4 linked regions of the Notamacropus eugenii genome follow. The protein of the gene in region 3 interacts with the protein of the main gene of each other region in a pairwise test. Links are inferred from orthologs where the notes say so. Each region holds a gene or a part of one and is shown on either strand. Other genes may lie near its edges. The genes, in order: GFAP, TRIM37, CWF19L2 and NAB2.

Region 1 (7,288 bases), on a different chromosome or scaffold from region 3:
AGGAGAAGGGAAATCCTGGAACATTCTGGTTTTCTCACTTCTTCATGAATCTTCCTGAGAAAGCGAATCTCTTCCTGCAGAGACTCAACCTTCCGTTCCAGATCCAGGCGGGCCAGAGCAGCTTCATCAGCCTCCTGCAGCAGGGAGAGGAGGACTAGCTCTGACCTCAGGATATCATCCCCTTCCCCAATGCCCCCCTCCCCCCCATATACACACATTCACTCTCCTTATCCCTCAGCTCTGACCCAGCTTCCATTCTCCAGGGATAAGGGAATAGTACAGAGAATGAGTAGGACAGAGATAAAAGACAGGACTGGAGACAAGCCAGGCACAAGGAAAGAAGGCAGAGCTGAAGGATGATGGATTAGGGAGAGACAAAGGCAGACATAGGGAATGGGGCAAAGACAAGAGACAGGGAGAGGCTGAGTTTAGGGGATGCTGCCACCTTTTTGCCTGGTTCCCTCCAGCCCCTCCAAGTCCCCTGACCTGTCTATAAGCTGTTAGATTGTTCTCTGCCTCCAGTCGAAGGTTGGTTTCATCCTGGAGCCTGCAAGGAAGGGGATAGGCACTTAGGATGTGCCAGGTGCTTTTTACAAATATGATCTCATTTGATCCTCACAAAAAACATTGTGAAGTGGGTGCTATTGTTATCATCCTTATTTTTACAGTACAGGTAATTGAGGCAAATAGAGGTTCAATGACTTGCCCAGGGTCACATAACTAGGAAGAGCCTGAGGTTGGATTTGACCTGAGGTCTTCCTGACTCCAGGCCCAGCACTCTACCCACTATGTTACATAGTGACCTTAAATTGTCCATGAGATATTTGAAGGCTACAGAGAGAAGGGTCCCAACAATCCTCTGGAGTAAAGGGGAAGTTAAGGGGAGGACAAAACTTTTGCCCTTCCGACAAACTAAAAGGGCCCTGAGCTATCACCTGGTTCCCATTCCCTTGTTTGAAAATGAAAGAATGGAGATCCAGAGTTGGGGGAGTGACCTGCCTAGAGTCTTGCAACTAGTTAATAGATTATATACATGCATTATTCCACTAACCCATCTATATCTCTCTACACAATGATATGCACACATATAAAACACTCCCTCCCCTCCTCTTTGCTTCTGGCCCCCTCCAATAGCCCAGAAGTTTCTCCATGGGGTTTCTTTCTATTGCCCATTCAACTCTGGGCACCACAGGCTATCCGAGAACATGCCTATTAAGAGCATGTGAGCAGATTGTCCACATGGCCCCAGAATGAGGAATTCATCTCTAAATCTGGATGTCAGCCTGGCCCTACAGTGCTGCTCAGACTCCTGCCTAGAATCTCAGGGCATTTTTAGACTGACTCCTCCCAATGTATTCTCTGGATTTTTCAGCTTCTGTTTTCCAATCCATATCCAGGTAGTCCCTGCTGATGCTTGTGTCTCCCCTTCATGCTTAGAACAAGGCTTTGCCCACAGGGGATAGTTGATCTGTAGCATGAATAAATTGATTAATTGAATAACTAAAGGGCCGCCAGATTCTTAGAGGTGGCCATGAAGAATAATGTAAACAGTGGTCTCACACCCATTCTGGCAGCCCACTCTATCCTCACTCTTTAACCCCTTCCTTTCCTTCCTCCCCAGCCCTGTTTAAGACTCCCCCTCATCTCCGGGATGCCTTCCTTAATTCTTCCTACCTGTCTTCCTGACTTCCTTCCATTCCCCGTGAATTCCCTGAGCACCGATGCTCACAGCTCTACCCAAGAGCCCATCCTTGTTTCTATTTTGGATGGGTCTCTTATGTACCTGGTCAGATTAGAGGGATGTGTGTGTGTGTGCACGCGTATCTCTCCTTGGGTTCAGCACAGGACTCTGCTCACAAGGATGAAACAGTTCACAGTCTGTGTGAGATGAGCAGACTAATGAACTGAGTGACTAATAGACCCCCCCAAACCAGAGTCTGAAGCACAAGAACCACAGTTTCATAAACATCCAGGATCTAACTTTGTCTTTCCCTCTGACACTCGCATCCCTTTCTCCCTCCTTGATTTCTACACAGTTCTGAGTCCCAGAGAGGTCAAGCAAGATGCCCAGAGTAACCTAGTAAAGCAAAAGCTGTCAGAGTCCAGGCACCCTGCCATTTGTCCCATACTTCTCCTCCAGAATGAGCTACTGCTCCAAGAATCAGACACATTTTCCCAGGAGAAAACTGAGAACGAGAATCTTTTGTGGCTTTTGGATTTGACCTTGAGGTCTCCTCTCCCTACCTTTTCTAGCTTCATCTCTTCTTTTTATTTTCAGTCTCATCACAGACCCAAGAAGTAGGAACTATTCTTATTAAGTTGGGGAAAACAAGACTGTAACATCCTAGATTTAGATTGAGAAGGGACCCCAGAGATCACCCAATGCAACCTCTTCGTTTTGCCCATGAGGAAATTGAAGTCTAGAGAGATTCTGAATTGCCCCAGGTTACCACTGGATAACCTTGCTCCAGAGGGGGCGACCAGCCTATTCAAGTCACACTGCACCCTTTCCTCTCCCTTTCTCCTTAGGACAACCACCTACTCACTTCTGTCTCAAGGTGGCCAGATCTTCAGACAGGTTATCCCTCTCGATCTCTAACCGGGCACTGCTTGCAGTCAGCTGATCCAGCTGAAACCGGAGTCTATGCAGCTCAGCCTGGTAGACATCGGCCAGCTTGGTAGGTTCTTTGCCCCGAAGCTGGTTGAGCTCCCCTGCCAGAACCTTGTTCTGTTGCTCCAGAAAACGGACCTTCTCGATGTAACTGGCAAAGCGATCATTGAGTTCCATCATCTCGGCCCGTTCACTGGACCGTGTTTCTTTGAAGCTGGCATTGAGTGCCTCAGTTACTGAGAAGTCAACTCTAGTGGGAACCGGAGGTGGCATTCTGCTCGGGGAGAGCCGGACAACTGGAGCCAGGCGGCGGGAACCTGGGAAGCGTACCACAACCTCAGAGGCATAGGATCGGCGGGCAGAGGAGGTGATGCGCCGCCTGTCCATCTTGGCCCTGGTTCTGGCTGGATCAGGCAGCCCCAAGGGGGCTTTATAGAAAGGCACACCCAGCTCCACTACCCTGAGCTGTTGGTTCTTGGCACTGCCCATGTTTACTTTGGCACCATTCCTTGGAAAGGGATGAGGCACTGACCGAAGGCCCCCCTGGGGGGGGGGAGCCCTCTTCTCTCCTCTCCCTAGTTCCCATCTCATTATTCTACCGAAGGGAGGGAGAGAGAGAGAAAGGTCTCCCTGTATTCTTGCTGGCCTTTGTATTCTCCAGGGAATTGGAATAAATTATTCTACTGTGATACACCTCATAGGCCTTCCCACTCCAAACATAGGGCTTCTCAAGGGCGTTCATTTTTCTGAAAATTCCCATTCTCCAAGATTCTCTTTCTACCCCTGTTTCCCTCTATACCAAGAGTTTTAGACCTGGAGCTTAGCCAGGACCTATCAGTCTGGAAACCTGGCTCCTAAAATCTCAAAACAGGAATGGACCGTCAAGATCTTTTAATGCAATTCTCTCATTTTGGTGAAGAGGAAACTGAGGTCCAGAGAGGTCCTTAGTTATGTCTAAGTTTATTCAAGTAGTTAGTGACAAAAATGGGGCTAGAACTCAGGCCCTCTTGACTTCTATTCTGCCATCTTTTCCATTGGTCTTCATAGAAGAGAGGAATGACTTTGGGGGATGGGGTGGTGGAGGTGGGGGAGATTAGTCAAGGATGAGCCAGAGGAAGGCATAGGACGTCTCTGGCCTTCCCAACCATGCCACCCTGCCCTGGTTCATAACCCTCCTCTGACTGGGCGCCTTACCAGAGCCCAGGACTGGACAGCTCCACAAAGCCATTACAGATGACCAGGGAGGCTGTGTGGTGCTGAGCTGTCTCCCAGGGAGAGTTCCCAGGGTCCCGTCCTCAATACTCCATCCTCTCCCTTCCCCCACCAATATCTCACTGAAGATTTATATCCCCTGAGTTCCCACACATTAGATCCTCTAGGTTCCCTGGCAGAGGAGCTAGGTACTGGTACTCTGGGAAATAAGAAAATGGGGAGGAGCAAAACTTTGGGAACAATAAGTTAACCTTTGAGGTAAACTTTGGACTGAGAGTTCTGGTGCCTGGGATCCCTGGTTCCTATCCTGTCTTCAGACCTTAGTGTTCTCGCTTCGATAACATAGAGTTCAAGCTCCAGTCCCAGATTCCCTGGGCTTCTGTGAGATAGGCATCCCTCACCCCCACCCCCAACTATTCTCAGGCTGCTGATTTCTACTTGCCTGGGCATTTGCTGAAAGGATTATTGTTCTGAGAGGTTTGGGAGGAGAAAAATGTCAACCCCCCAGGAGGTGAAGCTGCTTTTATCCCAAGGATGCAAGATTGCCAAACAAGGGTGCTGCCCAAGCTCTCAGCTCAATGGGCTTCTCGGAAAGAAGTGGAGTCAGGCTGATGAGCAATAGGCAGTGGGCTCTGTGCCCACCCTGGAGCCATTGTGTCTGTGCCAAGGTGAGTCATGCAGTGGGCAGAAGAAGCTGGGTAAGGGGAGTAGAGACGGGAAGGGGGGAAGAGGAAAACCCAAAGCTAAAAGAGAAATCATCTTCAGAGAGAGGCCCCAGCTCCAGTTTACAGCTACTGCTCCCTCCCCAACTTTTTCCACAAAGCCAACTTGACTCTCCTCATCACAGTTTCTCTGAGAAACTCAGTGGAACCTTGAGTCTGAATTACAAAGCATTGTCTCCAACTGGAGCTTATTCCACAGCTGGCCAATCAGTGGCACCAGCGTGGGCTGGGGTCAGATCTGGGTATTACCTCTGAGCCCCCATAAGGAGGGGGAGCAAGATGAAGTCTGTAGTTCCAGAGCCCACACTACCCAAAGGCGTTTAGGTCTGGAGCACTTGGAGAACCCTGGAGGCAGGGCCCAGGAAAGGCTTGGACTCCCCCACAGGTAGGAAAAGGGCTGGCTGTAAGGTATTAGGGAATGGACAAGATTGAGGGACTGGACTTTTTCATCTTCATTTTTTAGAGAAACGGAGGACATTTCCAGTGGGATTCAGCAAGTTTGTGTACTCTTCCCCCCAGCACCCTGCCATTTACATTCAAGAGAAAGTAACACTCCAGTGAACTTTAAAGATGCTATCAAACCCAATCAAAAGTGTTTATTAAGTGCCTACTACATACAGTGCCAGGCACTGTGCTAAGCACTGGGGTTACAAAGTATGGCAGAAGACAATCCCTGCCCTCAAGTAACTCACATTCTAATAGGGAAGACAATATGTAAATATGTACAAACTATATTGAGAGAGAGATGGATAGATAGATATAGATAGATAGATAGATAGATAGATAGATAGATGATAGATGGGTAGATGTATGGGTGTAGAAAGAGAGAGAGAGAGAGAGAGAGAGAGAGAGAGAGAGAGAGAGAGAGAGAGAGAGAGAGAGAGAGAGAAAGAGAGAGAGGGAGGGAGGGAGAGAGAGAAAGATGATAAATTAGAGGAAAGGCACTAGCATTAAGGGGATCTGAGAAAGTCTTCTTGGAGAAGCAGGATTCTAGCTGATTTTAAGGAATCCAGGAAAGTCAAGAGGTGGACATCACAACCCAGAAGACATTCAGTGAAAATTCAGAGTTGGGCAATGGAATGTCATATTTGAGAAACAGCAAGGAAGCCATTGGAGGGGAATAATAAATCACAAAAACAAGCTAGGTAGCCCTTCTTTGCTTTTGTAATGATCATGAGGGACTAGTGACATATAAGAGCCTTGAGAAATCTCATCTGCTACTTGCTGTCTTTCTGAATCAATGCCCATCTGCCAGTGACTTGCCCTATCACCATACCCAGGGGATAGCTATGAGAGCAGCCCCACTCTTGATTCCTTGCCTCATCCTCATCACTCACCCTCCCTGAAGCCCTGCTCTGGTTCCTGCCTCCAACCCTATACCCCATTACCACCCTCTACATAGACAGTCACAAAAACAGACAGACTTGATTCTGAGATACACTCCACAGGACAGATGCACCCCAAACTACAGCCAGAGGCCCTCAGCTTCATCTGACCACTCTCCTTCTGCCTAGGTCCCTTTCCAACTTGGGTCTTTTCCTGATAATATTCTCCCTTCGTGTACCCACTCCCTCTATAGTTCAGAACTCCAACCTCACGAACATAGGATCATGGAGGAAGGCACAGGGCAGCTGAGAACTCAGTCAACTAGCAAAGATCTGGACCCTTGGTTATATTTTTTAAATGATTTATTTTTAGTTTTCAACATCTACTTCCAAAAGATTTTGAGTTCTAAATTTTCTCCCCCTCCCTGTGACAGCATGCAATCTGATATAGGCTCTACATCTTATATTCACATCTATAGATTTTCACATTAGTCATGTTGTGAAGAAGAATTAGAACCAATGGGAGGAACAAACAAAAAAAAAGAGCAAATAGTAGACTTCGATCTACATTCAGACTCCATAGTTCTTTTTCTAGATGTGGATAGTGTTTTCTATCATGAGCCTTTTTGGAGTTGTCTTAGATCCTTGGTTACATTTTTTTTAAAGAATGTTAGAACTGGAAGGCACCTTAAGAGATCACCTAGCTCAGGCATGCACTTAATAAATGCTTGTTGATTTATTGACTTATCTTGTTCAACCCTCTCATTAAAAAAAAAACAAAAAACAAAAAACAACTGAAGCTTAGGGATATTGTCATAGCACATTGGAAAGATCCCAGACTCTGGAGTCGAGGGACCTACATTCAGATCCTGACTATGAAACATTAGTTGTGTGACTGTGGATGAGACACAACCTTCCTGTGTCAAAGTTCCCTCTTCTGTAAAATGAGGGGGTTGAACTAGATGGTTCCTGAGGGTTCTCTCAGTTCTAGACCTATGATCCAAGTGAAGAGACAAAGAACTCAACAGAGCTTGACTGACTAAGACTAAAAAGGGTCCAGAGATCCAGGTTGGGAGGAGAGTGAGTAGGGAAGTGCAGAAGTTGTTGGCCTGGCCCCTTTGGAGGCTGACCCTAGGGTCAATGTCCTGGCCAAACACTGAGTGAGAATGAAGTGTCTAGCTGGCAGCTAGATGGCAGTGCCCAACTGCCCAGGCCAGAGTAGAAAGAATATCCTTAAACAAAACCTATTACATCCTTTATAGTAACTCCTCAGCTTTTTATTCCAATGGGAATTAGTCCTTTGCTGCATCACCAAATGTAGCTCCACCTGATGTCTTCCTGTTTTCAAAAATCCAGTCTACTCTCAGAGGAGAGGAATTTGCCACCACCGAGCATACTGGAAAAAAATTGTACTTGGA
Region 2 (7,737 bases), on a different chromosome or scaffold from region 3:
AAAAAAGTCATTACGAGGCCCCAAAGTATAACCATTATGTTATTACCTTTCACATCACCCTCACACATTCTGAGGTAAGTAAGTATTCACTTGGAGAATAATGTCAATGAAGCACAAAGAAAAAAATTAATCCAAACCCTTCCCATTCATTTCACTGACAATAATAAAATTATCACATTTTAAAATAAGAATTGCAATAGCCAGGGAAGAACAACAAAGAAATGGAAAGTCCACCTTAGCAATCTATCAGAAGTCTCCTTAAGTCATAACCCAACCTACTTACTTCTAACTAAAAAGAACAGTACTTACCCGGATGCAGCTGAAACAACAGAGCTTGGAGCAATGTGGACACAGACGTGCATCACGCAATTTCTCCATACAAATGAAACATCGGAAAACCTCAGCAATACTCTAAGAAAATAATTAAACCACTACATCAGGCAACTGAATCAACATTAATATAATACCTTATTGGGAATTCTAAATGCATTCTGTGAGAGAAATGGGTTGAACAGTTCAACAAACATTAAGTATCTACTACATGCATGGCAGTGTGCTAGACACTGGAAATTCACTAAGAACCAAAAGAAAAAGAGCAAGACCCTAGAGTTTGTATCTATTAGGGTAGGGGTTCCCAGTCTGGTATAAATGTTCCCCCAGGAAATAAGAAAACCTTGTCAAGGGAGTAGAGGAATATTTGGTAAATAAATGTCAGTCTATTGAAATACTTCAAAAGTAATAGTGTTAGTGAAAAAAATGAGTGAATTGAGAGAAAAATGGTGAAGAAGCAGGGGCAGGGTAGGAAAGGCAGGAGCACTTTAAAAATCTGAAAGGGAGAATGAATATTTTTTATAGACCAAAACCAAATAAATGAGGTTTGGAATATGAAACTTTTCATTTGGATCTGGAAAAAAATATCAACATCCCAGTGAAAGATGAACCAATTCATCTCCACAGTAACTAGAGACTTCAAAATGATTTCCAATCAATAAAGTTACAAAACTTGGGGTATACCTTTGGAAAACAGTAAGCCATTCTTATATGTTCACAAAGCTTTAATTTCATTTATAACAATTTGTCTTTGGGAATCAGGTTTCTCAATCCTGTTCTCAATTAAATCTAAAGCAAGAAAAAAAGTGGAAGCTGGATATGGCATGCAGATATCTCTTTCAAAAATTGTACCAAAAATAAAACTGTTGACAAGAAGAATGAAAGGTCTCACTAATTTATCTTAATATGTTCTAACACAACATTTGATGGGGGAAAAAACCTTTATAATACTAAACGGGTTATGTACCAAATAAAGCTTTCTTTATTAAAAAAATAATTTCTCTTTCATTTCTTATATGCACGTACATAGTAAACTCTAGAATTTATTTCCTTTCATATTGAATAAAAGGGTACCAGAAAGTTGACTGAAAGCCTAGGGATCTGAGGATGCAATCCAAAAAGGTTGGGAACTCCCGAGGGGGAAAGGGGATAGAATATAACCTAACGGAACGTGCGTGTAACAAAACTGGAACGTAGTGTAAGGGGACAGCTAACAGGACAGCTACGCTGAGGGAAATCGAAGTAAATAAGCGTACAGCAATAAACCGACAAATACGTCCCAGCTAGTAAGAGGGCAGCGAGGGTCCTCACCGGCCACCTTCGGCAGCACTTGGGGGCTCAGGGTGCCTTAGCACACGTCCCAGAGTAAGCCCCCACCCTTCTCGGGGTTGTTCCCCAGGGGTAGAGGGAAGCTGGGGAGGGGGCTAAGCTCTGGTTCTCATTCCCCTTGCCTCCGGCAGACGCGGCGCCTCAGAGCCCGAACTTCTGCACGTCTTTACCCATCCCTTGGAGGCAGGCAGGTTACCAGGCAGAGAAAAAAGGGCCCGGCAGTGCGGTAAGGGGGAATCGGGGCACCGCTACGAGCCGGGTGCACAGAGTGCGGGCACACGGGCACCCATTCCTTCGCATTCCATTTCTGGACAGGGATTATTGTGCAAAGGCATCTCCCGGGAAGGAGCACCAGAGGCGCACCCAGCTGACTGCGGCACTTGGGGGGGTGCCGGGAGGGGGGCCATCGGTGTTGGGGGGTCGCCGGTGGGAGGGGGTGGGCCGGTGGGGGGGCATCGGTGTTGGGGGGCGTGGCGCCGAGAACCAAGCGAGCCTGGCTCCTTTGGAGCACGCGACACGCCCCCCTCGGAAAAGGCTAAGAGGGCGGGGGGGGGGGGGGGGGGTCGGAGCTGCCCCGGTGAAGAACGCCCCCTCCCCTCCCCTCGGCAGTGACGTCGCCCCTCTTCTCTCACCTCCACGCTCTGCTCATCCATTGCCTCCAGCTCCCGCCAGGCCCCGCGGTATCCCGCGGAGTCCGTCCTTCTCCTCCACCAGGTGTTAGAACCGGGTGGCCAGGTCCGGTTGGCCTGAGAGAACAGCAGGATGCCCGGGGTGGGGGTCAGGGGCTCGGGTCTACCCGGTCCCGCCTCGGCGCCCCGCCGCTCCCGCCTCCACGCCGCCTAACCCCATTTCGCCATTTTTGTCCGCGCGCGCCCCACCCGGGCGCCCCTCCCTTCTCCAGTCAGCCGGCCCCGCGCGCCAGGCTCAGCCCAGCCCAGCCCAGCCTAGCCCGGGGGGTCGAGCGGGCGAACAGGGAGGACAATGGGCCGAGCGTGAACCCCCACAGCGGCTCCCTCCCCCCCACCCCCCCCGTGACAGGGGGAACGGCTCTATCCCGCCTAAGTGCTGGCGCGGGGCTAGGAGAGGGGAGTACCGGGACACCAACGGTAACCAGGGCAGCTGGTGGCTAGGGTGGTGGCGGCAGCGGGAGGGGAGCAACGCGCATGCGTAGGAGGCCTCCGCAAGAGAGGAGAAACGTGCTCTTCGCGACGCGGCGGAGCACGAGACCGTCCCGCGGCTGCCGCAGTGTCGCGCGCCGCCCCCCGCGGGCCTGTAGCGGCTGGCTGGGAGCGGGGCGGCGGTTGGCTCGGAGTCCGCGCGCCCGCGGAGGGGGCGGGGCCTGGAATACCGCAGAGGGCGGGGACTAACCGGAGGAGGGGCAGCGAGCGCTCCTCCCCCCCCGCCGGAGAGCGTGCTGACCCGGACTGCGCGACTCGGCCGGATCTTGGAAGAGTCTCCTGGATGCCCTGCCCCCCGTTACCGCGCGAAAATCGCCCTTCCGCCGCGTGGAGAGCGCGCCGGGCCGGTAGGCCGGGCCTCCAGATGCCCCGCCCCCGGGACAGCTCCCGGGCTTTCTCAGAGCCGAACTCGAGCCAGGTGCCCTGGGAGGCTGCACCTCGGTGGGTCTTGTCCGGGTGACTGGCCCGGGATAGGTGGGCGGGTGGACGAAGGAGTGCATTGGAAATAAGGCTTTGCTCGCGCTGCTTCTGGCGGGTCCGGTCGGGGTCTGGGCCAGCGGAGGACGAACGCGGCCGCCTCGGCCGCTGGCACGTGTCAGGCGGCTCGCTGGGTGCCTTTCCAGCCCTTGGGAACGCCCTGCGTGGAAAGGTTCCCGTCTGCCTGTGAGCCCTCTGGAGGAAGCGAGGCCCCCTCCCACGCCCCCGGGAGGAAGAATGGCGGGGATTTGTATTGTATTCTGAATGTAACGGCTGAGAGAAGGAGCGTTCGTTCATTCAGAACAGAATAGGACAGATTGGCTAGGGAAAGGCAGCTCCGCCCGGCAGGGCCAGCCTCCTAACGTGCTGTTACGGAAGGGCCCCCGCGGGACGTGCCGCCACTCACCTTGGCACTTCCCGCAGTAACCTCGGGGCATCCTGCCACCGCGGGAGGAGGAAGGAGGACATCAGTCTGCTTATATGTCGTATTTCTCAGCTCTTCCCCTGACCCTGGCCGCTGCTCTAAGGACTGTCATTCTCACAGTCTAACCTCGCTTTCTCTGGAAAGAGTCATGAGCTTCCTTGGCTGCTACCCTCAGCATCCCACCCCTGATGCCACGATGCGCTTTCCTAGTAACAGTGGCATTCATGTAGTGCCTCCTGTGTGCCAGGCTCTTTACAGGTATCTCAGAACAACCCTGGGAGGTGCTGCCATTCTCCCCATTTTACAGCGGAGGAAACTGAGGCACACACGCATCGATTAAGAGACTTGCCATGGTCACAGCTAGTGTCCGGGGTCCAGTTTGAACTCAGGTCTAGGCCGGGTGCCACCTCGCACTCTCACTACTAAAAATAGAGGCTCCTTGAGGACTCTTGCTTTTTATTTAATCTTAGCCCCTGAATACAGAGCCTGGCACTGGAGAAGGGCTTCGGCAGTTCGGGAAGGAAGGGATAAGAAAAGAATGATGTTTTCAATCAAGAAAATTAGCTCCTACCTCTCTCCAGGCCCCCACCCTTAAGTCTTTCCAGACTTGTGTCCCTCTAGGTCTCTAAACCCTCTTTGTGTTTCCTTCTAACTATTGCCTCTTAGGGGCTTCCTTCCCCTTTAACTTGCCTAGCCCTCCTCCTACTGACTCGTTTGGGGGTCTTAAGTCTGTATTCATCTTTTTTCTCAGCTTTGGGGAAGAATCTATTGATATGTATCAAAATATATGTAGTTCTAATTGAGCCCCCAAACTGGGAAAAATCTCAACAATTAAAAAAAGAATCACAGTCCCTGTCTCTTTCCTCCACTTCCCCCTTAGGCAACCATAGTATGTTACTCGGGGCACAAACTGAGTATCAGAGAAACAATTTTCTTTTGATTGCACTTGACAAATACAAAAAGCAAACAAACTCCCAAAGAAGTAGGAAATCACATTTAGACTCAGCACAAGAACTAAAGGGAGGTAAAGGAAGGAAACAAGCATTTATTAAACCCTTTATGGTGCTCCAGGCACTGTGTTTAAATGCAAAGAGCGTAAATGCAAGCACAAAGAAAAGTCTCTTCCTTCCAGGAGCTTACTTTCTAAGGAGGAAAAATCACACGCTAAAGAAAGCTGAAAGGGGGCTGTGGAGGAGAGGAAGCAACAAGAAAGGGGAGGACCACGAAGGCAGATTGGCCTGGTAATCATCACAAAATAGAGACTTCAGGAGGAACTTGCCAAAGGGAGAAGGATGACAGGCCTTGGGGAGAAATATTGCTGGCTATTAGGCAAGGAGGCTCTTGGAATCAGAACAGGGAAGTAGGCATTTCAGCAGATTTGTTCTCATAATCAAAGACGGTCCCCACCATTCTGCATTGGCTTGAGCTACATACAGTGTTTTCCTAGCATCTCGTCTCCCCCAACAAGAAATAGCATTAGTGGTAGTGCTGAACACCAACCAGTAATTCTAATCTGTTCCCCGTCCCTGCTTCAGTTGTTTACACACCCCCTTCCCTTAGGACTAGTTGCCAGTTCTTGGGTTATAGTACACCAAAGACTTCTGTCCTATTCTGAAGGCATCCATCCCAGCTGCATTTTAATTCCTTGGGTAAAAGGCTTCTACAAATGTTTTGTTCTTGTTCATTCAGGGGATTTTTTTTCCCCAGACCTGGGGCTTAAGCCAAATCATGTGTGCTGACAATACAGTTGGCTGCCCCAGTAACAAGGTCGAGTTAGTCTATGCCAGAGGTGGGGAACCTGCAGCCTCAAGGCTACATGTGGACCCCCAGGCCCTCAAATGCAGCCCTTTGAATGAATCCAAACTTTACAGAACAAATGTTTGGACAAACAAAAGTTTGGATTCAGTCAAAAGGCCACAAGTTCCTCACCCTGGACTCTATGCATATCCTCCATCCCTTTTTTCATATTCACTGAGCTCACAGGTCTAATGAGTAAGGATCAGAGAATCGTGTAAGTCTTAGGGCAATAGATTACCAGATCTAGAGCGAAAAACAGATCCTCCAGGTTATCTAGTCTTAACACCTTTATTTTGCAGATGAGGATTACAGGAATGAGGAATGAAGTAATGTACCCAAGGTCTCACAGCAAAAGGGGAGGGTGGGGATGGGGGGTGACTAGCCAATGAGGGGCCTAGTCCTAGCAGTATACACAAATGCTTCTGTCTGCTGCCAAAGTATGTAGATGCTTGAGTGGTCTGCTTCTGGAAGTGAGATGTAACAGAATGGAGAGGCCACATCTTCCACTTCAGAGCATATGCAAACACTGACTTTTCTGTTCACCTGCGATATCATCCTGGAAAACCTTTTTATTGACTACTGATCCAAAACTGAGTGTGCATAATAAAGATACTGACAATTCAATCCCTCTCTTCCCTGCTTGCCATTGTAGGCCCTCCCCAACCAGTATAATGTGCCTTGGAATATATGGCACCTATGTTGCTTTTGTCTCTGTTGTGTCTCCTATTTTTAGAAGGAAGAAAGGAGATGAGCTTAGAGGTCACTAAATCCTATAATAAGGATACCTACAGCCACATATTGACTTAGTTTTAAAATGTAATAATCTATATCTTATTATGTTTTGTCTTCTTAAATATTTCCTAATTACATTTTAATCTAATTTCAGCAACATTAGGGAATGTTGTGAGCTACATGCAGCTCTGACCCAGTAACACTTCTATCCTAGAATATTTAAGGAAAAGATACAATAGCTACTCTCAGGGACCCAGTCTATTAGTGGGAGTAGGAGCTAAAATAAGAACTCCTCCACTTTTTTTTTGTTTCTGTTGCTATATAGGTAGCAGAGCTGGGCTTCAAATCCATAATGTAATTTTTTTTATTACACCATGCTACTGGAAAGTCCTAGTTATTGAGCTATTTTAAGCATTAAGTACCCTTAGTAGATCAAGGAAACATAAAAAGACATTGGTGGGGTTTTTTATTGACTTTTGTGTAGTGTGCCCATTTCCTCCCCTCACCCCTTCTGAGTCATTATTTCTGTGATAAGCTAATTAATGCCCAAAACAGATTGTGAGAAAAGATTATTATCACTGTGGCGTGAAAAGGGGTTTAAGAGACAAAAAAATACAAAGGCCCAAATTCCTGCCTGTCAATTCAATCCAATCCAATCCTACAAATGTTTGTTTTAAACATCTGCTAAGTACCAGCATTGTGCTGGAGACCAGGATGTAAAGGCTAGAATAACAACAACAAAAATAAAAAATAACCAGAGAGAACTTACTTTCTACTTGAGGGGGGAGGAGGAGAGCAGAGAAGGGAGAGGAGAAGCACACATGCCAGTGATCCTTAAAGGGGATGGCTGTATGGAATGCTAAGTGTGCTGCGGAATTCCTTCCCATACCCTGAGACTTCTACCTTCTCCCAGCTGCAGCTTGCTTCCTGTTTTTCCTGCCTTGAGTCAGGAAGGTCACGGTAGCAGTTATATCCACCACAGTGCAAAGCTGCCTCCTCAACTGGGAGTCAAAGGGAAGTAAAGTGGGAGAGGAAAGGAAAGGCAAAGAAATCCCAATCCCCAGATAAAGGCTGCTGTAGGCCTGACTGCCCAGGAACCGTTATTTGTTGCCAACTTAAACATTCAGTGTCTTGTGATTTTTCACAACAAAGAATACTTTGCTCTGAAGGGGGGAAAAAAGGTTTGATTCACAAAGTTAAGTAAATACAAAGGTTATCCAAAGTAATTACAAGAAGAAACCAGGAAAGCCTTTCTATAGGAGGAGGTAATCCCTACATTGTGCTTTAGACAAAGCTGATTTCTGAGAAGTAGAGGTGAGCAGTGACTGCATTCTCAACATGAAGTCTACCTTGTGCAAAGGGCTAAAAGTGGGAGGTGGCACACCACGTTTGGGGAACAGCAAGGGTGTGTGGATGGTAATATAAAATATTACCGGAAAGGTATAGGGGACCCATGGTGTGGAGGATGTG
Region 3 (7,449 bases):
ACCAGTAAAAGAGCAACTATAAATATTTTTGTACATATGGGTCTTTATCCTTTTTTATCTCTTTGGTATACAAACCCAGTAGTGGTATTGCTTGGTCAAAGGGTATGCGTGATTTTATAGCCCTTTGGGAATAGTTCCAAATTGCTCTCCAGAATGGCTGAATCAATACACAACTCAACAAATAATACATCTAATAGATTATCTTTTGGTAAGTCCACACTGTCAAAATTTTGTACTAGTATCTGTCATTCTTCCACAAACATCTTTCTCCATTGTATAACCAGAATTCAAACAGCCAAAAAAGTCAAAGATGTTTAAATATCAATGTGTAAACTCTTCACTAAAAATAATATAAATCACCAAGATGAACAATAGGCAAGTCAGATTTCTGAACAAAAGGTGTATGTAATATAAAATTTTAACCTAAATAAACTTGTTTATTCTAGAGTTCTTCAATACATACAAAGAGGTGAAAACATGAGAAATTCAAATAGTGTCATGTTATGCCTATTTACAAAGACTTCCAAAGTTTTTAAAGAACAGGAGTCAAACAAATATCAGAGGTTTCTCTGGCTCTATCTTCTGTCAAACTGACTTCATATTTCTTCTCATACACCCAACATTCCAGGCAGATGGGTGTATTTGTTTCCTGTCTGTAACATTACATCTCTCTTTCTTGACACAGGTTATACATTCCTTCTCTGCTCCACCTCATTTTAAGGCTCAAAGCTCCACTTAAGTACTTACTACTTCTAACAAAAAAAACTCTTTCCTATTCCCTCAGTAATTAATGTGTCCTCCTTTCCATTACACTGTATCTGTATCTGTACTTATCTGCTGTCTATTCTTACATGTTGTGTCTCCCCCCCATTCCATCCCCTAATAGATGTGATGATAGGTATGTGCCCTTTTTCGTCTATGTAACTTTTTTTGTTTGTTGTTGTTTTAACCACTGCGTCTAACACAGTGATTTGAACATAAATGCTTACTGAAGTGGATGGAGTTCCTTTAGCATGTAGCAATAAAAGAGGTAAAAGCTATTTCACAATGACATTGAGAAGAAAACTAAGTTAATCAAGCATGATGCTGCTACATAAAAAAATATGAAAGTCAATATAACTGTGCCTACCAAGTAAAACTACTGTTGTAGCAGAAAACAGGAGTCAAAGGATCTGGATTCAAATTCAGTCTCTTCTATTTATCCTCTCTAGGCCTCTTTTTCTTGTCTGTAATATAAGAGTTTTGGGCTGTCTACAAGGTCTCTTCCCTTGCTAAATCCTATGACCTCCTAATTTCTAAGCTCTTTGTAAATCTTAAAATGACACATAAATGCTATTATTATTTTTTATCCTCAAAATCATAACCATAGCAACAATGGCACCATTTCAACAAGTAATCAAGAGAGGCATAGAGGAAAAGAGGGGGGAAAAGACTCAAATCCTCTTCCAGGTTCAATTTTCACAGAGCAAGAAACAGTAATACCTATTTTCTACAAATGTGATTAAGCAAAACCACACTGACTTTTGAAAAAGCTAATCTAGATATCTTTCCTAGTTCAGCCTAGAAATACAAAACTCTCATAATCTTTTGAACCTTCAACTGAGGCACAGCCTCAAGAATTTACCATGTAATAAAATGAAGAATAACTTTTTTTCTTAAAAAATCTATGGAACTGCTCAGAAACGCTCTCTTACTTAACTCCAATTTATATATTCACCCATTTATGACTATCTCAAATGAAAATTTTTTTTGCAAAATACACTTTTATCTGAGGGAAATTTAAACTCAGTAAGGAAAAAAAATATTGGACAAGTAGATTAAAATTCCAAAGGAAAAACTGGCACTTCCAGTTTTCACAAATTCACAAAGACAATCGATGTATTTAGTGCTCAGAATCTTTCTGTCCATCCTCCATTTCAGAAAAATTAAAGAGCTTCACAACGTCTATTCCATCCAACATTTTTTGAAGGTGCAGTTTCTCAATATCTGACAGCTTAAGAAAAACAAAGAAAAAGGTGATCAGGACGCCTACCCCATGGTCCGGGAAATCCTTAACTTTCTAGGGCAGGGAAAATAGTGCAAATGTAGGAGAGGGCTAGGGAGGGAGCCCAGAGAAGTGATGGTCTTAGAATGCAGGGAAAGATCTTTTTTTTTTTTTTTTGATATGACAGTAATGGAGTTTGTTTTGCTTGACTATATATACGCATTACACAAATCGTCTTCTTCTGGAGAGAAGGAAGATAAGGAGAAAACAGTTAAGAGGAGAAAGACAGAAGAAAAGGCCATAAATAGGGAAAGGAAGCTGAAGGGTAGAAGAGAGAAGAGAAACAGGGAAGGGGAGAAGCTGGGGGGAGGCTGGGGAGGCGAGAGGACGCTGAATGGGACTGGATCGCAAAAACTCGCCAGAACGACAGCAAAAGGAGGCGAGGCCTGAACCCCTGGGCAGCCTTCCTCCCCTTTTCTAGGCCTCTTGTCCGTACGCTCCAACACTTGTACTTGTAAGCGGGACTTGAAATCAGGGGTCCCCACAAGCCTTAGTGAGGTCTGAGCTTAAATGGTCTAAAACGGCGAGAACCCCGGGGGTGACCGGGGGCGACCGCGGGCTTTCGGGGTGGGAGCTGACGGACGGGAAGGCCTGAGAGCGGCCCCTAAGAGAGCGTGGGGACAGGGAGGAAGCAGGCGGTGGCCGGAGGGGTGGCTCCCCAGACCCCCAGCGCCCTGGGCACAGGGAACGACGGTACAAGGATGCTCTGAGACGGAGATACCTGTCGCAGGACCTCGGCCCGAGCCTGCCGCTTCTCTTCTTTCCGTTCTTCGATGCTCCTAGCGCTTTCAAACCGACCACCGGAAGCCGCCATCGTTGTTGTTATGGAAAAGTTCCCAAGGCAACCGTCGTAAAAGTCGGCTTACGACAGTCGTAAAAGCGAACCTTCCGGTTCGTCGCTCTCAGGAGTCCCTGGGGGCGGGGCGGGACGGAGAGGGGAGGGGCGGGACGGAGAGGGGCGGGGCGGGACGGAGAGGGGCGGGGCGCCCTATGGGAAGGAGAGTTGGAACTTCAGAGTCCTGGGTATGCGCGCGAGGAATTGTTCTCTCCCTCTCCAAGAGTGGGGTCTTTTCCTCCCTCGAGTCTAGCTAAATCCTGGGAGGAGAAGGCAAATGCAGGTGGAGAAAGGAGTTAGTCAGCTGACCCACCTGCTGTGAGACCTTTGGGACACCGCGTATTCACCTCTGGGCTAGGTTTGCTAGCATTAAAGGGAGGCTGTTACCGGAAGGGATGATGCCACCGGGCACCCGAGAATGTGATTGTCTTGCCATGGACCTCACTGCTCGCTATGGAAAGTCGATGCTCTTTTTCACCTTTCGCAGCCGGGGCACCCCTGTATCAGTAACCGACCCTCCGCAAAACCATGAAGTTTGACTCCGAGCCCTTGCTCACCCCTAACTTCTGAGCCCCGCTTCTGACCTTGGGGATCCCTCCCCCCTTCTGACCTTGGGGATCCCTCCCCCCTTCTAGCCTTGGGGTTCCCTCCCCCCTTCTGACCTTGGGGATCCCTCCCCCCTTCTGACCTAGAGCTTCCCCACGCTGCGCTCTGCTGCCAAAGTTTTAGACATCAACTCCTCTCCACCCACTATCACGCCTCCCTCAAAAAACTCCCATTTTCACCACTAATTATACAGAGAATAATTATATTATTACTAATTACACAGAGGAATTATACAAAGAAAATTAATTCCCACAGTGTTTGTTGTTGTTGTGGAGTACCAATGACATCACTCTGTTGGGCACAGTGATGTACAGCGTGTTGACTGAGGCTGATCAGTCCGATGGGAGCTCACAAGACTCTCTCTACCACAGCTCCAACTACAAATAGGCCATTTGAACATTTGGGATGGCTTTTTCTAGATCTGTACCTCTCATATTTGCTTTGTGTTCCTGTGATTCTGCTTTGTTCTTAGAGCACAGAGCCTTCTTTGATGCAGGTATACCATGCCGGGCAGTCCTGTGCCAGGGTCTCCCATGTTTCACTTGATACTAAAGTTCTTCAGAGAGACCTTGAGAGTGTCCTGGTACCACTTCTTCTGACCCCATGTGAGTGCTTGCCTTAGAAGACTTCTCAGCCAAATAGTCTTTTAGGTAAACATATGTTTGACATTTGGGCTACAGGACCAGCCTATTGGAGTTACACTTTCTGCCATAGAGTTGTAATGCCAATAATTCAGGGACCTGTGTCTGATACCTTATCTTGCCAGGTAATCTTCAGAATCTATCTAAGACAATTCAGATGGAAACAGTTGGCTTTTCTGGCATGGTACTGGTACACAAGGTAGGTTTCATAGTCATATGGTGATGAGGTCAGCACAAAATGGCTCTGTAGACATTCAGTTTGGTATGTAGCCTAATACCTCTTCTCTCTCATACTTTATTTTGGAGCCTCCCAAACACTGGGCTAACTCTGGCAATGTCTGTATGCATCAACCTCATCACCTAACATCCCTGGAAAGTATACTACCAAGGTAAGTGAATTTCCCCACACTATAGAAAATTTCTTGGGAGGGAGGGGGAAAATATCTAAGACTTATGAAAGTGATTATAGAAAACTGAAAATAAATAAATTAATAATTTTTTAAAAATTTCTTCATTCACTGTTAACCAACGGTTTCATGAATGGATGGAAAAATGCTGGCTGGTGGGAGAACCTCTATTTTCTTGGTATTGATTGTCAGGCCAAAATTAGCACAAGCAGCAAATAATCAATCCATACTCTGTTTCATCTCAGCGTCAGAGTCTGCATTGAGTACACAATCATCTGCAAACAAAAAGTTGTGTACCAACTCTCCCTCTACTTTAGTTTTAGCTTGTAGCCTTTTCAAGTTAAAGAATTTGCCATCAGTGCAGTAGCTGACCTTGATGCTGTTTTCTCCCTCATTGAAGGCATCTAACATCATTGCTGAAATGCTAACAATGCTAAGAAAGCATGGGAGCAAGCTCACAACCTGCTTCACTCCACTGATAATTGGGAAAGCATGAGAGTATTGTCCTTTATCAAGAACTTACACAAATATGCTATCATGAAATTGGTGTACAATATTGATGAACTTCTCCAAGCAGCCAAAGTTCAACATAATCTTCCATAAGATCTCATGACTGAGGCCTTGTATCAGGTATCAAAGTTTCAAAGGTCTTGGTCATGTCGACAAACACTGGGTCCAGAAATGTCTTCTGGAGTTGTTGGGCAGCAAACACAATAATGCCGTTTCCTCTGCCCTTTCTGAAGCCTTACTGGCTCTTTGGTAGATGACTATCTTCCACATGAAGGATCAGCCAATTAAGGAGTACTCTGGAAAGAATCTTGCCAGCAATGACTAAGACACACACACGCACACGCGCGCACACACACAGACATGCACACACACATAAACACACACCTATAACTGTCACAGGATAATCTGTTTCCTTTTCCTTCATAGAGATGGACAATGGAAGCATCCTTGATCTCCTGAGGGATAACCTCCTCTTGCCACATAACCTGGAAGACTTCAGTCAGCATCTATATGAACAGTGAACCTGTCCGCCATGTAGATCTCTGCTGGGATGGAATCAGTGCCAAGCACTTTGCCACACAAAAGAAGCCTAATGGCATTCAGTACTCCTTCATTTAGAAGTTCATCTAGAGAGGGATTGACTTCAACCTAAGGTAAACAGCCAATGGCTTCAGCATTGGTTGATGGTGATGTGTTGAGAACACTATAGAAGAATTCAGCCCATCTCTTCAGGATCATATCCTTATCACTAATCAGTGTGACTCCATCAGTGCTGAGTTCTTGAGATGCAGCAGAGGTCTTTGGCTCATAAATAATCTTCAGGGCATCATAGAAGCACTTTGGGATACTTGCTATTGGTGGAAAACTGAATCTCATCTCCCTTTTTACTGAATTCAAAATCCAACATCTCTCTAAGCTTTGATTTCAGTTTACTTTTGATAGAGTTAAATACTGCCTTCTTAGAGACAGATGAACAGTCTTCCTGGCAAACACTGTAGAGTTCTCTTTTTTTGTCTAACAGCTTCTTTAATTTCCCCATCATTTTTGTCAAGCCAGTTCTTATGTTTGCAAATGTTCTGGCCCAGATGAGCAAATACAGTGCCATACACCAAATCTCTGAATGCTACCCACTCCTTTTCTGCTCCATTGTTGCTGTTTGCTGACTCTGCTTTCCCTTCAGGTCAGCAATAAACTTTATGAAAGCAGAAGCACTCTGATCTGTTGAGGTTGAGTCTCCTGACTGTTGTCTTGCCTTGGGGCCACCACTTTTGTTGCATGGGAATTTTAGCTTTAAAAGGATAAGTCTGTGATCAGTCCAGCACTGTGTGCCACACATCACCTTCATCACTCTCACTTCCTGCCTGTCTCTTCCCCTTATAATGATATAGTCAGTGCTTGTTACAAAGGTGCATCCAAAACATTTTGTTGAATGTAGGTAAACAGAAGGCGGTGTTGACGATGAGAAAGCTGTGAAACACTCAAGTCTTCAGTAGTAAATGACCATTGATATTGCTATTTCTGGCTATGTTCCTCTGTATTGATAATTCATTTTTGCTTATTGTTAGTGTAATATTTTGCTTAATTTGAAGATCTTTCCCATCTATTAACAAGTCCATGTGACCTGTTTAAATCACATGGAAGCCTAAGTCACATGTTGTGGGAGGAGCTTGCTGGACGGGTAGAGCAGGAAGGGTGGAACAGGAAGAGGTAGAGCTAGAGCAGAGCTGAGAAAAAGATTGGTCAGAGCAGTCAGAGCTAGGAAGGATCCAAGCAAGCAGGCAGCTGGCTAGTGTGAGTGAAAGAGCCTGTTTGTGATTTTGTTTAAGGGAGTCTACTTGTGATTTGTCTAATGGAGCTGGTTTGTGGGAAGCCTAGAAGAGGGAAGGCTTTAGGGTGGTGCTGCCCTCTGCGTTGTTATTGTGTCTGAGTAAATGTTTTGCTCTGTCTTCCATGTGGAGAGTCTGTGGTATTTCGCAATTCAGAATTGTGCTGGCATATTCATGGCTGCTATAGGCACTGTGAATATCACATTGGTGCTACATCCTCCTGAGGATTCCCTGCCACATCTGATAATCTGTGCCTACTCTGGCATTAAAGTCACCCAGAATTACAAGCTGGCCCTCTTTTTGCACATTGGTTATGAGGGTACCCAGGGTCTTCATAAAATTTTTCTTTGAACTTATCAAGATTAATCTTGGTGAGAGGATATGTTCTGATGATGGTGGCATGGCATTTTCCTGTAACTGGCAGCTGCATTCAATGAGCGTGTTATTCACTACTTTTGGGAGGCATAAAAGCTTGCTGATTAGATCTGATTGCAAAATGTAAGCCAACTTCATGGTGCTCCTCTTCACAGAGGATACTATGTATTCAGCATTTGTAAGCTGGTCCTTCCTGCCCCAGCAA
Region 4 (7,964 bases), on a different chromosome or scaffold from region 3:
ATAAGAATTTATATAATAGTGGAAAATCTTTATCTTTTGAGGGTAATTGAGATTTTCAGAAATGGCCCAAAGTTAATCACCACTGAGTCTGGAATCTGCATCAAAGGATCAAACCAGGCAATTTACTGTTTTCGCTTCAAAAGTTTATTAACATATTATTAAAGTATATTATTAAGAATTAAGAATGGAAAGAAATCTTTCTCCCGAGTTGAAAATGGAGATGATTCACTTTTGTTGGCTATTTTTATATTGTGTATGCTAAAAAACAAGACTCCAACTGAAAAGCTGTTAGATTCATTGACTATTATGACCTACTATTTTGTGGTACAGTATATGTTTAAAATAAAAAAGGATCTTTGAAAAAGAAATTCACCTGCTTGCCTAGCTATAATCAATAAACCACTGAATAATTAATTATCAACATAATTATTACTTATAAGTCTGCCCTATCCACCAGGGCACACATAGGGATTTTTCAAAAGTAAAGAAACATATTCAAATATATTGCTCCAAAGAGCAAAGAGGGTTTCTTCTACTTCTAAAAAATAAAATAATTCTTAAAATATTGTTCATTTCATTCTCATATTAGCCTTTAAAATTTTTATTTTGTATATTTTTATGTAATATACATAACATTGTATAATAATACATGCATATTATTTATTAACATATATATTTCGGGTGTGTGCTAGACAATATTTTGCTAATATGGATATCTTATCTAAAAATCTGGAGCCCTCTATGCTCAAGCTATGTATAGGATGTATATATGCATAGCTTTGGAGAACCACAGGTCACTTCCACATCACAATAAGGCACCACATCTGAGGAGCATCTGGGGAAGAACACAGACAAGAATTATGCGGGATGAGAACATCTAGAGAACCCACGATCTGAACCACTGGAGGGAGTACACACGCCAGTGAGATCAGAAATCCATGTAAGCAATGAGACTCATTTGGTGATGCTTTTTGTTTCCCTGCCCATTTCTTCTCCAACACTTCCCCTCCTCCCATCCTTTGCTTTTCTCTTCCTTAAGCATTTTCTTAGGAAACTGGGCTTGAAGATCCTGGGTCCCTGTTCTCTAAATCAATTCATATTACTTCCCTCCTTATAGAATCCTCACACAAATCTGGATTAGTGAACAACCAGCATTTCTAAGAGCTATGTGACTGACTGCACGTATATAACATATAGCGGATTGCTTTCCCAATATAAGGAAGGGAGAAAAATGTGGAACTTAAAATCTTATAAAAATGAATGTTGAAAATTGTCTTTATATGTAATTAGAAAAAATAAAATACTATTTACATAAAAAGAGATACGACCCTGGGCAAGTCACTTAATCTGTTTGCCTCAGTTTCCTAATCCATAAAAAAAGATAACACCTACCCATCAGGGTTGCTGTAAGGATATCAGGAGATAATAACTGTCAAGTGCTTAGTACGGGGCCTGACACATAGTAAGCTCTATTAATGTTAGTTATTATTATTTCCCCACCTCCATTTCTTCTCGCACACAATATTATCCATGCCTGGAATACCCTTCTCCACCCACCCCAAACTTTTGAAATCTTAGCTATCCTTTAAGGCCAAATTGAAATACCACCTCCTTCAGAAAGCCTTCCGTATTCCCTAAGTCATTAATAGCACTTTCCCCTCAAGAATCCACTCAACACTTTTCTTGCAATTCCTCTAAGTACCTAGCAAGTGCTATTTTTTAAACTGTGGTTACTTATGTCTCATATCCTCATACCTCCAGAATGGTAGGAACTATCTTACCCAGCATTATGCTCTACAAAGCAGTAGTTGCCTTACAAGGGTACTTACTGAATGTTTAGTAAAAGGAATTAAATTAGAGGAAGCAGGGAAAGGGAAGAATTAGTCTGTGAACAAATAGTATAGTCCCCAATGTAATAAACTGCACATTATACGAAAACTCAAAACTGATAAAGAGCTCACTATTTCTGCTTTGAAAACCAATCGAAATGGGACCTTAGAGAAAAAAATGGGCCCTTTTCCCAATCAGGCAAGAAAGTGGTTTAGGGAGTGAGGAAGAGGGAAAGCTTATAAAGAAAGTGTTTTTTTTTTCTTTTCATTTGGTTCCCGTGAAAGAACAGGCTTCTAATTTGGTTACTGTCTCTATTTCTCTTTGTGTCTCTATGTAGCTTCTTAAGGCCCAGTTTTTGTTTCTTTGTCTCTCCCTTTTCTCAGGTCTGGAAAATCCTTGTTCTCAGAGGAAAGGAGTAGGAGGAGAATTGGAGGATGGTTGAGAGGAGGAGGAGAACAGACATCTCAGCAGCTCTGGCTGCGGGGGCGGCTGTGGCCGAAGGTGGAGCCTGACAATTCATTGATTTTGAAAAATAACAAAATCCACTCATAAGAACCCAGAGATACAAACACTCACAAGCACAAAAACACGCATCTAGAACACACAATTCACTTGGACAGCGACACACAGTATCAACCCCAAAAGATACAGTCACACTCTCAAACATTCAGGACACCTTCCAGGCCAAGTAATTGTCACCACTGTCCTACCCTGCCACAACTTACCCCCTCGGCAGATACAACCTACGACCTCAGTGGGTACAGTGTGGGGGAAAGCGCTCCCTCCTTTTCTTTGGGGAGTTCAAGGACTAACAGCTCTCACCGTCCCTACCAAACTCCTCTTGCCCCACATCAGCAGCGAGGCAGGGAATGCAGGGGGCGAGGGAAGGAAGAACCGGCTCCGCCTTCTGCCTCCGTCTCCCCGGCCGGGTCCCGTCCCAACCTCCTCTTTTGCCCTGCCCCGAGCCCTCGACTCAGGCCTCCTTTCTCCTCGCTCCCGGCTCTCCCTCCGGACCCAGGGGCTCGGCGCCTCCAGAGGGCGTCCGGGTGGGAGGGAAGGAGGCAGGGAGGGGGCGCCGAGAGCCCGAGGCTGCGGGGGTGGAAGGATGTGCGTCATGGGGAGCGTGGGCAGGAAGGGGGGCACGTGGAAACCCGGGGCCGGTGGCTGGCAGCTCAGGCCCCAAAAATAACCGAGGGGTGGGGGAGGGTCCACCCACGCTCGCGCCGGGGCTGGCGTTCCAGGGAGCCCCCCACCCTCGTGAGGGCAGCCACCAGCAGACGGACACAGCTCCCTCCGCCCCATGTTGGGCACCCTGTGGTTTGGAGAGGGTGAAGGGGACAATCTTATTTGCTCAAGTCTCACCCCCACCCCGACAGGAAATGCCCCAACCTCCAGGGAATGTAGACCCAACGAAAGTAGAGAAAGTGCGCCCGGTGCCTCTAACCCTCCCCGGCACACCGCCCACCCGTCCATTTCAAGTGTTGCGTGAACGCTGTTGAAAATTAGGGCATGTGGAATTAGAGTCTGGGGGCTTGGAGGCTGGGGAAAAGGCTGTCCTCTCCTGGTTGCTTGCCTCTCCTCTCTTTGTTGTTCCCCCCCTTATTATCTTCGAGTCCTGAGGAGTGGGGTGGGGTGTGTACCCCCCGCTTCCCCCCCCTTTCCAGCCGTGGGAGTGAGTGTAATAAAAACCATATGGAGCTGAAAGAAATGGGGGAGGCAGGGGGTTAGGGGGTAGAGAAGACTATCTGGATAAAGGCGGTTATTTGAAATTGCTCCACCCCTAGAATTCTGCTGTAGACCATCCCATATAGAAAACTTCACACATTATTTCCTGCCATTTAGCTATTCTGTATCACCAAGCGCTCTGAAAAGACCCCCTGCCTCCCCCCAGATGCCCTCAGTGCACTGCCTTACTTCTTAGGATATGACTTTTCTGGTGTAGAACAGCCAAGCTGAAGTTTGCCCCAAGGAAAATAAACTAGAAGTGATGAATAAAAAGGAAAATGGATTGGGGGGGGGGGGGGGGCGACTCCAATTTACTATCTGAGGTATACTACCTGAGGTATGCCTAAAAGCCAAGTAAGAGTCCCGCGGTTCACAATAGCAAACCAATCTTTGACCCTATGAAGTAACAAACTGGTATCCATTAGAAAATGTAAACAAATCTATTTGGTGGGTCCTAGAATTATCAGTACACATTCTGCCGATTTCTACCGCTGTTATCATAACAAACACCACTGTAAACCTCTAAGACAGAATAACAGGGTGAGGTTATATGTAGTCAGGGAGCATCTCTAAGGGTGACAGAAATCCTTAAACCCTATTCTAAAATTACCTTCTGGTTTCGGAGATATCGTAGATTCAGATCTGGAAGGAACACATAGCAATTGTTTTTTTCAACCCACTAGTTGGGTTTTTTTAAATAAATGAGAAAATCATGCTTTTTTTTTTAATAGAGGAGGAAACTGAGGCCCAGGGAGAGAGGTAGGGGAATCTGCCCAAGGTCATACGGCTTACTAGCCGCCGAGGAAAGATTAGAACTGACTTCTAATCCAAAATCAAAAGGCTTTCCATTAAAAGGTAGGAGACCAGATGAGTTTCCAGCCGGACGATGATACTGTCCCAGAAGACCCTTTCCAGAAATACCGTCTCACAGTGCACACACTGCGAGTCTCTATCTCCATCCTTCTTCCCCATTAAGCTAACACTAGAAGGTCTAGGAACCAAGGGACCTAGATTGTAGGGGGCTGGTGTGACTCTGCATGTGTCTCTCTGTGTGGTTGTGTTTGTGTAGCTGTCTCTGTGCGTACCTGTGCGTGGTAGTGGAACTCCACTCTCAGGTTGGCAGGGTCTGGGAAGCTGGAGTTGGGGGGCAGGGATGGATGCCTGCTTGGGCACTCACGTGGGGGCGGGGGCGGAGAGAAGGCGGGTTTTGCATCCGGAGTGGGCAGCAGAGAAAGCTCCTAGTCCCGCCCTTAAGATACTAGCCCGCCCTCTCCAGCCGGGCCTGGGTCACCTAGTCCCCTGCTCGGTGCCCCAGCCCCAAGTCCCCGCCCCTACCCCACCTCCGCCTCCGCCCCCGCATCCGCCCCCGCCTCTGTCTTTCCACCGCCTACTCCTTTTCCCCACCCCCCACCCCCCTAACTTCCTCCTGGCTCGGCCAGTCTCTTTCTCCGTTCTCTCTCCCGGGCTGAGGTCCCGGCTCCCGCCCACCGCCTCCAGCTTTGCCCACGCCCCCAGCCCGCCCGGCAACCAGCGCAGCGCCGGGCCCGCTCCCCCGTGCGTCCTGCGGGGGAGGAGGCGGTAAGCGCAGCCGGGGAGGGGGGCAGAGGCAGCGAGACACAGCTACAGAAAGAGGAGACGTGGAGGCAGGGACGGAGCCCGGACAGCGGCGGACACTACACGGAGCACTGGGCACCAGGTATTGGGCACCGAGCTCCTGGAGCAGAGCGAGGAGTACTGGAAACCGCCAAGGGTACCCCGGAGGGTCTCCTACCGTCCATGCACAGGGCGCCCTCCCCTACTGCTGAGCAGCCGCCGGGCGGAGGGGACAGCGCCCGCCGGACCCCGCAGCCCAGAGCCAAGTGAGTGGGGAGAAGTGGGCTGGGCTGGGCTGGGCAGGCAGTGAAATGATTCTGGAGGGGGACTGGGTATGGGGAGCTCAGAAAGAAAACAGAATCGAGAGGGAGTGGGATGAAGGTGAGGAGAAAAAGGGTGGGGGCTGTGAGTCCATAGAAAAGGAGGCCCAGGGCTCTGTTAGTGCCGAGTATAAGGAGAATATTACCTAGTCCCTCATTTCCTGCCCCAGGCACAGCTTGACGGGGTAGTTGGTATCTGGAACTAGGAAGCTCCATCCCTAGGGCAAGCCCCATCGCTTAGGGTTGGCCTCGGCGCCCCCGACTGGTTTAGCTTTAGGACGGCACGAGAAAGAGAAAACAGGCTTTTCAGTTGCTAGAAGCAGACCTCTTTGAAGGAAGAGAACACAGAGCTATCTCCTAGGACAGAAAGGGATGCATTAATTTCCCTTAATTTCTGGTTCTTTGTACACAGCTTGAGTGCAAGGGGCCTCTATTGTAGCCCCTCCATCATTCGCTCCCCTCCTCTTCTGCAGAGGTGGATAGGAATAGGGAAGAGGTGGGAGGTAGGAGGTGGGGGCCCCAGGGGCGTTTGCACCCACACACTCAGCCACTGTGGAAGTCTGCGTGGGCAGGACAGCTCCTGAAGGGAACAATGAATACACCCCTATCCTTCTTTCCCTTGGCACCAGGGCCTGGGAGGCCTTGGGGGCCATAGAAGGGGTGGAAGAAGGTCACTACAAAGATGGGGAGCGGGGACACTCAGAAAAGGAGCAGTATGGACAGAAGGTCAAGGCCTTGGAAGTTGCTGGTGGGGGAAGGGAAGTGCTGCTTGGGTGGGTAGGGGATGAGCCACACCCCTTTCAGCTCAGCTTTCAGAGAACTGGGGCTGGGGGAGGCCCTATTTTCCCTGAGCTCTTCTTGAAGCCCACTGAGAAGTAGAGCAGATCAGAGGTGCTTTCTGTCATGCCCTGAGAAGCAGAGAGATGTCCTATGGGTTGGGGAGTGGAGTTTTGATATTACTGTGTACTCAGTAGAAGAGGCTTGTAGAGTATGTTGGGGAGGGAGGAGTGCTTGGCCATACTAGGTATATACTGGCTTCAATTTAACTGGCATGGCAGTTAAATGTGGCACTAACTGCCATGGATTTCTGATGCTAGGATGAGAGAAAAGCATGATGAGTGAAGGCAGAGAATGAGGACTGTGGGGCCTTGGGTCCTGTTGAGGTTAGGCACCAGCACTTGTTATTTGCTGTGGCAGATGCACAGCTGTGCATGGCACATAGTAGGTATTTTAATAAATACTTCTTAATTGATGCAAGTTTACCATGGTATATTGGCTTCTTTCTGGATAGCTCCCACTTTCCCAGATCTACTTAGTCTTCAGCTTGAGCAGGTGAATAATGAACCTTACACAGAATGTAGAAACTCTCAATTCACAAGGAGGAAAAATAGACTGAGGGGTTGGTGACAAACCAAGGGAGCTTCCTTGACCTATCTTCTTCCTGTGTGCCCCTTCCTAGGCCCAGTGTTCCAACCATGGCACTACCCCGGACACTGGGGGAGCTGCAGCTGTATCGAGTCCTGCAGCGTGCCAACCTCTTGTCCTACTATGAGACCTTCATCCAGCAGGGGGGGGACGACGTTCAGCAGCTGTGTGAGGCAGGAGAAGAAGAATTCCTGGAGATCATGGCACTGGTGGGCATGGCCACCAAACCTCTCCATGTCCGACGTTTGCAAAAGGCATTAAGGGAATGGGCCACCAACCCAGGGCTCTTCAGTCAGCCTGTGCCTGCTGTGCCTGTTTCCAGCATCCCTCTCTTTAAGATCTCAGAGACAGCAGGTGGTCGAAAAGGGAGCATGAGCAATGGACACGGAAGCCCAGGAGACAAGGCGGGCAGTGCCCGAAGCTTCAGCCCCAAGAGTCCATTAGAACTAGGAGAGAAACTCTCTCCCTTGCCTGGGGGCCAGGGAGGTGGAGATCCTCGAGTCTGGGCAGGCGGGAGCACTCCCGAGTCGGACGTTGGTGCTGGTGGAGAGGAAGAGGCCAGCTCTCCTCCTTTCTCCCCACCTGCTGGGGGTGGGGTCTCAGAAGGGCCCGGGTCTGGTGGGGTGGGCGGTGGTTCAGATCGACTAGAACCAGAAATGGTTAGAATGGTAATCGAAAGTGTGGAACGTCTCATCCGGAACTTCCCCCGGGGAGACGCTGGGGAGGTGACGTCCCTCCTCAAGCTGAATAAGAAGCTAGCTCGAAGTGTAGGGCACATCTTTGAGATGGATGACAATGACAGTCACAAAGAGGAAGAAATCAGAAAGTACAGCATTATCTATGGACGCTTTGACTCCAAGCGCAGGGAAGGCAAACAGCTCAGTCTGCATGAGGTAAGGACCTCAGGGTCCCCCTCAGAGTTCATTGACCTTTCTCCCCTCCTCCCCCTGCCCATGCTATAATCTCTAGAAATCCCTGACCTCCTTCAGTACCTATAGGTTCCTCAGATTGTTGGCTCCTATACCTGACTTGACAGAAGCCCTCATCCCCACCAGAATGGAAAAGTTTGAT

The links.
Region 1: the proteins of CWF19L2 (region 3) and GFAP interact in binary tests that used the Homo sapiens proteins (3 or more experiments, as listed by UniProt). The link is inferred for Notamacropus eugenii from reciprocal best matches to the Homo sapiens genes CWF19L2 and GFAP.
Region 2: the proteins of CWF19L2 (region 3) and TRIM37 interact in binary tests that used the Homo sapiens proteins (3 or more experiments, as listed by UniProt). The two-hybrid records come from large-scale screens. The link is inferred for Notamacropus eugenii from reciprocal best matches to the Homo sapiens genes CWF19L2 and TRIM37.
Region 4: the proteins of CWF19L2 (region 3) and NAB2 interact in binary tests that used the Homo sapiens proteins (3 or more experiments, as listed by UniProt). The two-hybrid records come from large-scale screens. The link is inferred for Notamacropus eugenii from reciprocal best matches to the Homo sapiens genes CWF19L2 and NAB2.

What each region holds. Positions count from the first base shown.
Region 1 is NC_092873.1:348,995,379-349,002,666, reverse strand, and holds the start of GFAP (glial fibrillary acidic protein), read right to left. Parts: upstream 3,009-7,288; 5' UTR 2,999-3,008; coding exon 2,547-2,998; intron 548-2,546; coding exon 487-547; intron 135-486; coding exon 39-134; intron 1-38.
Region 2 is NC_092873.1:371,820,821-371,828,557, forward strand, and holds the start of TRIM37 (E3 ubiquitin-protein ligase TRIM37), read right to left. Parts: upstream 3,006-7,737; 5' UTR 2,753-3,005; intron 2,536-2,752; exon of another isoform or gene 2,406-2,535; 5' UTR 2,313-2,405; coding exon 2,292-2,312; intron 412-2,291; coding exon 310-411; intron 1-309. UniProt on the Homo sapiens protein: E3 ubiquitin-protein ligase required to prevent centriole reduplication. Probably acts by ubiquitinating positive regulators of centriole reduplication.
Region 3 is NC_092876.1:147,499,943-147,507,391, reverse strand, and holds the start of CWF19L2 (CWF19-like protein 2), read right to left. Parts: upstream 3,015-7,449; 5' UTR 2,859-3,014; coding exon 2,766-2,858; intron 1-2,765.
Region 4 is NC_092874.1:232,431,422-232,439,385, forward strand, and holds the start of NAB2 (NGFI-A-binding protein 2), read left to right. Parts: upstream 1-4,959; 5' UTR 4,960-5,331; coding exon 5,332-5,414; intron 5,415-6,927; coding exon 6,928-7,786; intron 7,787-7,964. Other genes in the region: uncharacterized protein, read right to left, coding at 806-835, 2,653-3,303. UniProt on the Homo sapiens protein: Acts as a transcriptional repressor for zinc finger transcription factors EGR1 and EGR2. Isoform 2 lacks repression ability.